3 linked regions of the Callithrix jacchus genome follow. The protein of the gene in region 1 purifies or fractionates together with the protein of each later gene. This does not show direct contact. Links are inferred from orthologs where the notes say so. Each region holds a gene or a part of one and is shown in the gene's direction. Other genes may lie near its edges.

Region 1 (2,309 bases):
GGGCAGAGCTGTTTTGTCTCTGGGGCACATACAATTCTAACGCTGGACTCTTCTTCCTGGGTCATGCCGAGACAGTAGTCTCAAATAGAGCACTTATTGAGGCTCAGGGCATTAAACGTTCTGTGGCAGATGCAGTGACTATTCTGGGTGTGAATAATGTAAAGTTACAGCAGAGCTCTTGTTCTAAGGCATTTGGGACTCAGTTTTTCTGAGTGAATATGCCTTGTAGCTTGCGTCCTATGGCAGGAGTGCAATAGAACATGGATGTGCTCAACTGTTTTATAAAACCGGTTGCTGGCTGGGCACGGTGTCTCACTCCTATAATCCAAACACTTTGGGAGGCTGAGGCAGGCAGATCACTTGAGGTCAGGAGTTAGACCAGCCTGGCCAACATAGTGAAACACCATCTCTACTAAAAAAATATAAAAATTGGCCAGGCATGGTGATGTTGGCAGGCAGTGGTTATCCCAGCTACTTGGGAGGCTGAAGCAGGAGAATCACTTGAAGCTGGGAGGCAGAGATTGCAGTGAGCCAAGGTTGTGTGCCGTTGCACTCCAAATTGCACACCAACCTGGATGACGAGCAAAACTGTTAGTCAAATTAGCTTTCAGAAAGTTAAGGGTTCTGAATGTCTAGAATAAGACACTGAATTATCTGAGCGGCTTTATTGTGACTCACTGTATACTCAGGAACCAGACTGAGTTGAAATCCTGTCTTGCCACCTATTGACAGCACGATCTTAAGGATTTTAACCTCTGCCAGTTTCTCAGCTGAATGTGAGTTTACTAATAGTGCACACCCCCCAGGGTGGTTGGTTAGGAATAAGTATGTGAAAAACATTGAATGGTGGTGCCTGGCACAGTTGGAGCTAATATATGAGCACCTGTTTTTCTCCGGGCTCAGATACAGAAGGTGGTTATGGCACTAGGAGACTACATGGGTGCCTCCTGTCACGCCTGTATTGGGGGCACCAATGTTCGTGCTGAGGTGCAGAAACTGCAGATGGAAGCTCCCCATATCATCGTGGGAACCCCTGGCCGTGTGTTCGATATGCTTAACCGGAGGTACCTGTGTAAGTAATTGAGTTCAACAGTCCCCTAGGTCACTTCCTCTCATGCATGCTTTCCGCGTCTTTCAGCTTAAGCCAAAGTCATTCCTGAGGATGCTCATTTCCCTTATGGGAAGAGTTGCTCTGTGATGAGGCCCATGCGTGTCATCTGAGTCTGGCTTTCCTGGCAGTGCAGCCCAGGCAGTGTTCTACTTGCCAGGGCTGATGTCTGGCCAGGCAGGAAAGTCCTCGGCAAAGGATCAGTCTTTGTATTCTGAGAGCAGACTACTTGGTCCCTCTGTTATCAGGAAAGTTGGGTACATATATCACACATTTACCTAATTATATGCTGTATATTGGCTTTTTTTATTCTCTAGCTCCCAAATACATCAAAATGTTTGTACTGGACGAAGCTGATGAAATGTTAAGCCGTGGATTCAAGGACCAGATCTATGACATCTTCCAAAAGCTCAACAGCAACACCCAGGTGAGGGCAGTCTTGCTTGAATAGCTGAAAAAAAAAAATAGTTAAGGACAGAGTTTGGCTCTTGTTGGCCAGGCTGGAGTGCTGTGGTAGCTCTGCCCAGCTGATTTTTTGTATTTTTAGTAGAGAGGGTTTCACCATGTTGGTCAGGCTGATCTCAGACTTCTGACTGCTCAGGTATTTGCCCGCCTTGGCCTCCTAAAGTGCTAGGCTTACAGGCATGAACCGCCACACCCAGCAGTGATTATTTTCTAGAAGAAAAATAGCAAGTGCTAGAAGAACCAAATTTTGGATTGCTATCTTGACTTTTTTTTTTTTTTTTTTTGGCACCCACTTCACTTTTTTTTTTTTTTGAGACAGAGTTTTGCTCTTTTTACCCAGGCTGGAGTGCAATGGCGCAATCTTGGCTTGCTGCAACCTCCGCCTCCTGGGTTCAGGCAATTCTGCCTCAGCCTCCCGAGTAGCTGGGATTATAGGCATGCACCACCGTGCCCAGCTAATTTTTTGTATTTTTAGTAGAGACGGGGTTTCACCATGTTGACCAGGATGGGGTCGATTTCTTGACCTCGTGATCCACCTGCCTCGGGCCTCCCAAAGTGCTGGGATTACAAGGTGGCTTGAGCCACCTCGCTCGTCCACCCACTTCAGTTTTAGGTGTGACTAGGGAAGGGAGCAGGCGTCAGAAAGGACACCTAAGAAAGGCTCTAAGGCTGGCCTTTTTCTCCATTAGGTAGTTTTGCTGTCAGCTACAATGCCTTCTGACGTGCTTGAGGTGAC
Region 2 (4,371 bases), on another chromosome or scaffold:
TCGAACACCTGACCTCAAGTGATCCACCCACCTAGGCATCCTAAAGTGCTGGGATTACAGGTGTGAGCCTCTGCGCCTGGCGGATGCCTGCCCTTCTTTCCCACTCAATGTTACTATGCTTAAGACAAGGCCCCTGCTGGGGGGTGGGGCTGGGAGTGATCTTGGCAGGTCTAGCTGGGAAGAAAATCCTTATCAACAAATGTCACCCAGCATAGGACACTGGGGAGCTGATCACTGGCTGCTGGTCAAAGGGTGCTCCAGTCCTGGGGAAGGCCTAGGTTAGAATTCATCCGCAGAGTTCAGTTAAGGCTGCTCATTAGATATGGCGGCTCAGATCATGTCCCCAGCCAACTTGGGAGGTGGCAAGGTTCATCCGGACGAAGGTGGCATTTAGATTTGGGCACTGTCCTTTCCCCTGCAGGGTGACCTTGGGCCAGTCACTTTTCCTCTCAGTGTCCTATGGAAATGGGTCTCCTCATTCCATTCACCTCTCAGAGCGTCTGAGGAAGAAGTGTCGACACAATGGGTGTGAAATGCGTGGTTAAGGGCAGGAGGGTAGCATTGGTTATGCGAAGTCCCGGCAGCGGGTCCCTACCCAGCAGGTTCCATTCCGGTTAAGCGGTTCCTTCCCCAGTAACCGGGGTTTCTCGCCTCACCACTGCTTTTCCGTCCCTGCAGGCAGGATCCAGCAAACAGCAGGCTCCATTACCAGGGGCCATTACCATTGTTTTTCGAGGCTGGGCGGTAGGAAAGGACTCTCGCAGGCCAGACCTCGCCTTTGGTCTCTGCCTCTGCCCCGCACCCGCGCGGTAGCAAGCCCGAGAAGCCCCGTCGCCGATCTTTGCCGAGGAAGCGAGTTAGCCACTGAGCGCTCCCGAACGGAGGCCGAAGGCGCACCCGAGTGTCTCCGAAGAACCCCGACCCCTCTCAGTCTCCGGAAAGAACCGAAGAGGCTTCCCACCATCGGCCTCCCGAGCTATTCCGAAAAAGCACGAAGTTTTCCGAGCGGCCGTCCTGCCGGACTGCTGGAGGCGGCCGCAGCGCCATGTTGGATGCTCTGCTCGTTGAGTGAAGAAAATCCGCCGGCATCGCCTGAGCCCCGCTACCGAGAAGGGTGCCGCTTCCCCCGGGGAGGGGGATAAAGATCCCCCGCTGCCGGCCCATGAGGATATTGCCGTGAAAGGTCCGGTCTCTCCGCCTCCTGCCCCCGCCGGGTCCGGCCCCCCCCCTGGGGTCGCGTTGTCACGGAGACCGGCAGCCGGTGGTGCTGGCCCGCGGGGCGGCTGCTGCTGCCGGCGGCGGCGGCGGCGGAGGCGGCGGCGGCGGCGGCGGCGGCGTCGGGCGTGTGTGACCGGCCCCGGCCCCCTCCTCCTCCTCCTCCCAGGCTCCCCCCAGCCCCCAGCTCCCGCCGCCTCCCCGGGTCTGCCCCCATCCCGCCCCCCCGCTGTCCCTGGCCCCTGCACCCCGGCGCGCCCGGTCCTGCTCTGGGGGGGTTGGTGGCTTCGCTTTGCCATGAGTTTACCGCAGAAACCGGCTCTGAAATCAGGCACAGCGACTGCAGCAGGAACCGGACCCGGCACCGGAGCGGCGGCGGCGGCGGCGGCAGCAGTGGTACCGCCTCCTCACCCGGCGGCGGCGGCAGCAGCAGCGGCGGCGGCGGCGGCGGCCCCCCCTCCTCACCCGAACATCAGGGCCCTCCAGACCCAGGCGCCCCAACAGTATCCTTTTCACCTTCCTGTCGGCCCTTCGGTTGTCGTCGTCGCAGCCCAGGGGGACCCCGCAGCCCAGGGGACCTTCCTGCGGACCGCCACAGCCCAGCCAGGAAGGGGGCTGCCGCTCAAGCCCCTCCTGCATTGGGCTTGGCCGGAGCTTTTGGGGTGCCTGGCGGCAGCACTGCAGAGGGAACCTCAGACCTTATGTAGTACTGTGAAAGCTAGCTCCACTTGTCCATGCTTCTGCAGCCCCTTCCTTTTAGAGCTGGGGGACCCTTCACCCCTCCTCCTTCCCTAAGGTACCCTCCCTCCCTTTATTGGGCAGAATTTGCTTGGTGCCTGGGACCAACCCTGCAGGGAAGGCTTTTCTCTGATTATTGTGAGGATTACACCCTCCTACTCCTCACCTCCCCTCGGCGCCCCCTACAGTGGGGCGCAGTGGGCTTTCCTAATTACTATTAGTACATAATAAACTTTATCGGTGAATTTCTTGTTTAAAACTAATCAGCTCGTTTCCGAGGTAAGTTGGATTTTCAGTGTAAGGTGAAAATGTACAGAAAGCAGCCCCTCTGGATAATTTTTTTTAGAAATGGGAGAGTTGTGATGTGGTTTGTGGTAGAACGAGATCTGAGGAAATGTGACGCTGGACGCTTCCCTGTCTTTGACCTTTTTAAAGGAAGAGGAAGTTCACTGACATTACCCATCACCCACAAAAGTGTCACTTCTTGGAAGATTTGTGTTAAGCTGAATATTTTTAATGGGCTTTAATTTACTCTTCATAGGCCTGATGTCTAGAGAGTTGTCAGGGCTTCTGGAGGAAAGTCTAGTATTGAATGTTTCTAATTTCATGTTACTTGCTCGATAGTAGAATTTTGGACAGCTTTGATTGAAAAGACTTGGTCTTTTAGTCAAAAACTAGACGGTGAGGGTAAAACGTTGAATTCATGAATTCCACGGAGATTTAGAAAGGTATTGCGTACCTGAGAATAACATTTCATAATGCATCCCCTCCTCCCTACACCCACTGTATATGTGTAAATCAATAAATAATGATTGGATGTTAGATGTGTTGTGTTTTTGTATTTGTGTCATCGTGTGTTTGACTTGTAGAGATTGTAGGGTGTGTGTTTGAGCAAGTTAGAAGCTAACTGCTGTGAGGTCCCCAGATTATTTCACAGACTGTAGTTTGATTCTTGTCTGTATAGATTACTTTGAGAAGGGAAAACAATCTCCCTTAGAGTCATTTCAGGTCATTGTTTGGTTTCTGTCAAGTGTCGTTTTCTCTGTTCTTTAAATATAGTTCACGTTTTTCAATCCAGGCACCGTGGCGCAGTGCAAAGATGAATTCCATTCCAGTGTGATGTGTGTACTGATTTAATAATGTTTTAATCCTGCATGATTCTGTTCAATTAGGAGTTGCTCACCGATGAGAAAGTGTAATGATAACTTAGTGTTGCTTATAGAAAACATGGTTAGTTTTGGTCAATGTCTCTAGCTGCTTTATGGTGAGGGGAGAAGGGGTAAGGTTGACTGGTTTGCTTACTTCAAGGCAGAGTTCAGTGATGGATCTCTTAAACCTATTTTAATAATTTGTCAGTTTAAATTACTTTCTAATTTCATTTTTTTACCTTGATTGCCTATACTCGGTTAGGACTTTTAAGTTTCTGAATTGTACCACCAAGTAAATTACTCATTACCTGCATCTTTGAGCTGTTTAGGCAATTAAACAGAAATGAAGGGAAACCTATGGTAGGTGTCCTTGATATACAAAGTAGTAAGAACTGCAGTGCTGAATGTGACACTGCTTGGTGAATTTGGTGGCTTTTTGGGACACAAAGAGTTGTGACATAAGTGTTTCAAGTATACTTTTTCTCAGTGCATTTCATAGAAGGACTTATAAAAGCTCTGAGTTGGTTGCAACATACAAGTAGTTACAAAAGCTGAAACTTAGTTTTCTTTTGAATAAAAAGCAGTTGTTAAATAGATAAATTTAAGGGTAATTTCCAGTATAGAGCATTTAAACCTATTTGTAGTAATATGGAATACTTAGTTTTATGTGGCTTTAAGTTTTTAGTTTGCCTCATGCCATTGAAGCTAAAGTTAATCTTCCTCTTGATGTGTTTCACAGCTTTTAATATTTTCTCTTTGCTTTTACACACTGAAAGGTTACAATTGCAAAAATGGAAAATTTTATATGAACAGCAAATGAAGTGTAGGTTGTAGATTTCATCGGAACATATACCAGTGGTGAAGTGTTATCAATTGGTAATGGGATATTGATTTAAAAGGATTGAAATAGAGCAGTTCTACTTTTCTACCCTGAGGGAGTATGGGAGTTTGTATTTGACGCAAGTTGTCATTGTTCAGTAAGTTGATAACATTTAAGCATCTTGGCAGGAGTGCTTAGCTGGAGTTTCACTTTTCATGGCTTGAATATATCTCCAGACACTCAAAATATATGGGTATGGTTGTGTTTGCATTGAATTAATAAGTTCAGTCAGTCACCCGCCCCCCGCCCCCCGCCCCCAGTCTCAGTCTTGTTGCCCAGGCTGGAGTGCAGTGGTGCGATCTCAGCTCACTGCAACCTCTGCCTCCTGGGTTCAAGTGATTCTCATGCCTCAGCCTCTTGAGTAGCTGGGATTACAGGCGTGTGCCACCA
Region 3 (3,652 bases), on another chromosome or scaffold:
GAAAACTTAAAACGTGGAAATTGAAGTCTTATGAATTCCCCTGTATACATTATCCAGTTTAAAAATTAGCAACATTCTATTTCTTTTTTATAAAATAAAGGATATTTTATTCAGAGGAGTTTAACAATATTCTCTTATTTTCTCTTAGGTGGTGCTTTGTAAATTTCACTCCGTGTTTCTGTCTCAGAAAGGGCAGGTTTATACCTGTGGTCATGGTCCTGGAGGGCGATTAGGACATGGAGATGAACAGACATGCTTGGTAATTGAAATGTCATTACACTGTTTAGGTAACTTTAGAAAAATAGTTACCATAAGCTCAAATGTTGATAACCTAGTTCAGTACCTATCAGAAAATTGGTTCATTAGGTTATTTTAAGATTTTTTTTTGTGGGGACTTTAGGTATACTTATCTATTAAATGGTGCTTTAAAAAGCAGGGAAAGCTACAATGATAATAGCTTCCATTTTTGAGGGTTTATTTTGAGGATTCAGTTAACTACATTTTTTTTCAATTGTAAGCAAGGAATTATACACCAATTGATAATAGATTTAAAATAATCTGTTTCTTGGTATATCATGTTCAAATTAAGGATTTATACACAATGCAGAAGTATCAAAGAAAAATAATACTTTGCTTATAGCAAATACTGAGTCTGGAAGGTATATAAAGTAAGCTTTAAAATGTTTCCAGAGTTGAAATAAAAGAAGGCATACTAGTCCGGGCCTGTGGCTCACACCTGTAATCCTAGCACTTTGGGAGGCCGAGGCGAGTGGATCACCTGAGGTTGGGAGTTTGAGACCAGCCTGACCAACATGGAGAAACCCCGTCTCTGGTAAAAATACAAAATTAGCTGGGTGTGGTGGCGCATGCCTGTAAATCCCAGATACTCGGGAGGCTGAGGCAGGAGAATCGCTTGAACCCTGGAGGCAGAGGTTGCGGTGAGCAGAGATTGTGCCACTGGACTCCAGCCTGGGCAACAAGAGTGAAACTCCATCTCAAAAACAAAAAAAAAAAAAAAAAAAAAGGAAAGCAGGCAGACTAATTGTAAAATGCTTTTCCTGAAGTAGTTCTGGTTTATGTTTTTAACTTCTCATTAAGATTTCTGTGGCCTTAAAATTGAGCCAGTATTTGCATTGTATGGTCACAAAGTTGATATTTATGCTTCTGAAACTTAGTGCTAATTAGAAGAAATCTATTTCATTACCTCTCAGAAAATTGGTTCACTAGGTTATTTTAAGTTTTTTTCTTTTTTTTGTGGGGACTTCTGGTATACTTATCTATTAAATTGTACTTTAAAAAGGTGGGATAATAGCTTCCATTTTTGAGGGTTTATTTTGTTCCAGGCATTGTTTATGCTTTTCATACATAATTTCTACATTAACTTAAGCCTCACAACAGCCCTGTGAGGCACAGGTATTATTTACATTTAATGCAGGACGATGGTACTAGTAATAGCAATCATGTTTTCAGATAAGGAAAATGAGGTATATAGAGGTTAAAAAATTTGGTTGAGATCAAATAGGTAGTAAGTGACAGCAATAAGATTTGAACCCAGGATAGATAAATGACTCCAAAGGAATCTGGTATTATATGTTTGGCTACTCCGTGAAGGGAAGCATTGATTCTGTGTTTTTGTTTTTTTCAATATACCAGTGAATACTTTGATGAGCTGCCTTTATTCATACCAAACAAATTTGTACTTGTTATATGGTGAGGGCTCAAAAATCATTTGTTGAATTGAATTATTTCACTGAAATGTTTTACTGGGCTTTTCTATTTTGTTCATAAACTTGCAACCATATCCTTTTAAACTCATCTTCTCTATGCTGAAATGTAGAATTTACCTATGATAGATATAACTATGTATCAGTCATGTCATTTTGGATGTAGTATCATCAAATTCTATTTGCATATCTCTATAAATGGTTAATGCAGTGTACTAAAGTTAATTTTATTTTGTAGGTCCCTCGATTTGTGGAAGGGCTGAGTGGTCATAATTGTTCCCAAGTGGCAGCTGCTAAGGATCATACTGTTGTATTAACTGAAGATGGATGTGTTTATACATTTGGCCTAAATATTTTTCATCAATTAGGAATTATTCCTCCTCCTTCCAGTTGTAATGTACCTAGACAGGTAAACTTGACTCTTAAATAATAAAGGCTTTACATTTGCAATAAAACCTGTATGGACAAAAAAAAAAACGTAAGTTATCGACAGAGCAACTTATTTCTGTTATTTAACTTTATCTTCAATGGTATATATTGTCTTTATTATTTATTGTTATTATTATTTTTTTGAGGCAGAGTCCTATTCTGTCACCCAGGCTGGAGTGCAGTGGTGTGATCTCGGCTGACTGCAACCGCTGCCTCTTGGTTTCTCTTGCCTTAGCCACCCGAATAGCTGAATAGCTGGAATTACAGGTGCACACCCCCGTTCCCAGCTAGTTTTTTTTTATATTTTTAGTACAGACACGGTTTCACCATGTTGGCCAGGCTGATCTCAAACTTCCGACCTCAGGTGATCCTCCTGCCTTGGCCTCCCAAAGTGCTGGGATAACAGGCGTGAGCCACTGTGCCCAGCCTGTTATCTTTATTTTTAACAGGAGAAATTAAGCATAGTAAATATTAGCATTTGTTTGGAGTAAGAAAGAAAGCACTTGGGAAATTCAGCACTTGGGAGATTAGCCACCAACTGTCTCTTTTGAGGATTTATAAGCAAAGGGAGGTCCAGATATTTTGGGTTTGAAACTTAAAACACTTTTTAGGCCATCCTTAAGAAAAAATCTGAAATTTATCCATGCAAAATGGGCTCATGCAAGTGAGGAACCCAGAGTCTTAAGTTTTATTTACATCATTAAATCTGCCCCTGCACAGGTAACACATGTGACAAGTTGATATGAGGGGACATGGGTCCAAAAACCGGTGTTCTTTATTCTACTTCCTTACTCTCATGTGTACAGCCTTCTCCAGAAGGTACACAGTGGTGCATAGGACAATCTCATGCCCAAAAGTCATCTAGCCCAAAATGTCAATAATGCCACTGTTTAGAGACCATGGAAATATCAAATTTAAAAGCACTGTGTTTTCTATTAAGAATGAAACTGGCTGTTTTGCATACTACTTGTTAGAAAAAAATATAGCTAAAAGTTAAAAAATTTGATTTTTGTACTGAAATATTTGCTATTAAATTAGAAAATTTCTGTTAAATTAGAAAATAGACATGGTATAAAAATTAGTTAAAACTGCTGACTGATAAGGCTGCATTACAATGTTTTGTGTTCTGAGAAGGGTTCAGTTCTTAGTATAAGTGCTGAGCTCTATTAGTGACAACTTCCATTTGCACTTGAGGGGGCATGAACAGCAACTATACCGTATATTTGCTTGTCTGCTGGATCTTTGAAAAATTGTACTAGATCATAGACATATAGTAAATTGCAGTTTTGTCTTTGAATAGATACAGGCAAAATATCTGAAAGGAAGGACAATCATTGGTGTTGCAGCAGGCAGGTTTCATACAGTCCTGTGGACTAGAGAAGCTGTTTACACTATGGGACTAAATGGTGGACAACTGGGTAAGAAATCCTTGATGATAATATCTGGAAATTAAATTGGACTCTTAAAAATGTTTCCTTTCTAATTTTTATCAGTTAGAA

Evidence for each region.
Region 2: the proteins of EIF4A1 (region 1) and EIF4G3 purify together in Homo sapiens (co-immunoprecipitation; 6 studies listed by BioGRID and IntAct, counting the BioPlex papers as one, with this or other methods). This does not show direct contact. The link is inferred for Callithrix jacchus from reciprocal best matches to the Homo sapiens genes EIF4A1 and EIF4G3.
Region 3: the proteins of EIF4A1 (region 1) and IBTK purify together in Homo sapiens (co-immunoprecipitation; 4 studies listed by BioGRID and IntAct, counting the BioPlex papers as one, with this or other methods). This does not show direct contact. The link is inferred for Callithrix jacchus from reciprocal best matches to the Homo sapiens genes EIF4A1 and IBTK.

Annotation. Positions count from the first base shown.
Region 1 is NC_133506.1:74,068,743-74,071,051, forward strand, and holds part of EIF4A1 (eukaryotic initiation factor 4A-I), read left to right. Parts: intron 1-903; coding exon 904-1,072; intron 1,073-1,189; exon of another isoform or gene 1,190-1,330; intron 1,331-1,395; exon of another isoform or gene 1,396-1,425; coding exon 1,426-1,535; exon of another isoform or gene 1,536-1,559; intron 1,560-2,262; coding exon 2,263-2,309. UniProt on the Homo sapiens protein: ATP-dependent RNA helicase which is a subunit of the eIF4F complex involved in cap recognition and is required for mRNA binding to ribosome.
Region 2 is NC_133508.1:58,037,294-58,041,664, reverse strand, and holds the start of EIF4G3 (eukaryotic translation initiation factor 4 gamma 3), read left to right. Parts: upstream 1-1,490; 5' UTR 1,491-1,512; coding exon 1,513-1,718; intron 1,719-4,371. UniProt on the Homo sapiens protein: Component of the protein complex eIF4F, which is involved in the recognition of the mRNA cap, ATP-dependent unwinding of 5'-terminal secondary structure and recruitment of mRNA to the ribosome. Functional homolog of EIF4G1.
Region 3 is NC_133505.1:87,752,342-87,755,993, reverse strand, and holds part of IBTK (inhibitor of Bruton tyrosine kinase), read left to right. Parts: intron 1-148; coding exon 149-259; intron 260-1,962; coding exon 1,963-2,133; intron 2,134-3,453; coding exon 3,454-3,571; intron 3,572-3,652. UniProt on the Homo sapiens protein: Acts as an inhibitor of BTK tyrosine kinase activity, thereby playing a role in B-cell development. Down-regulates BTK kinase activity, leading to interference with BTK-mediated calcium mobilization and NF-kappa-B-driven transcription.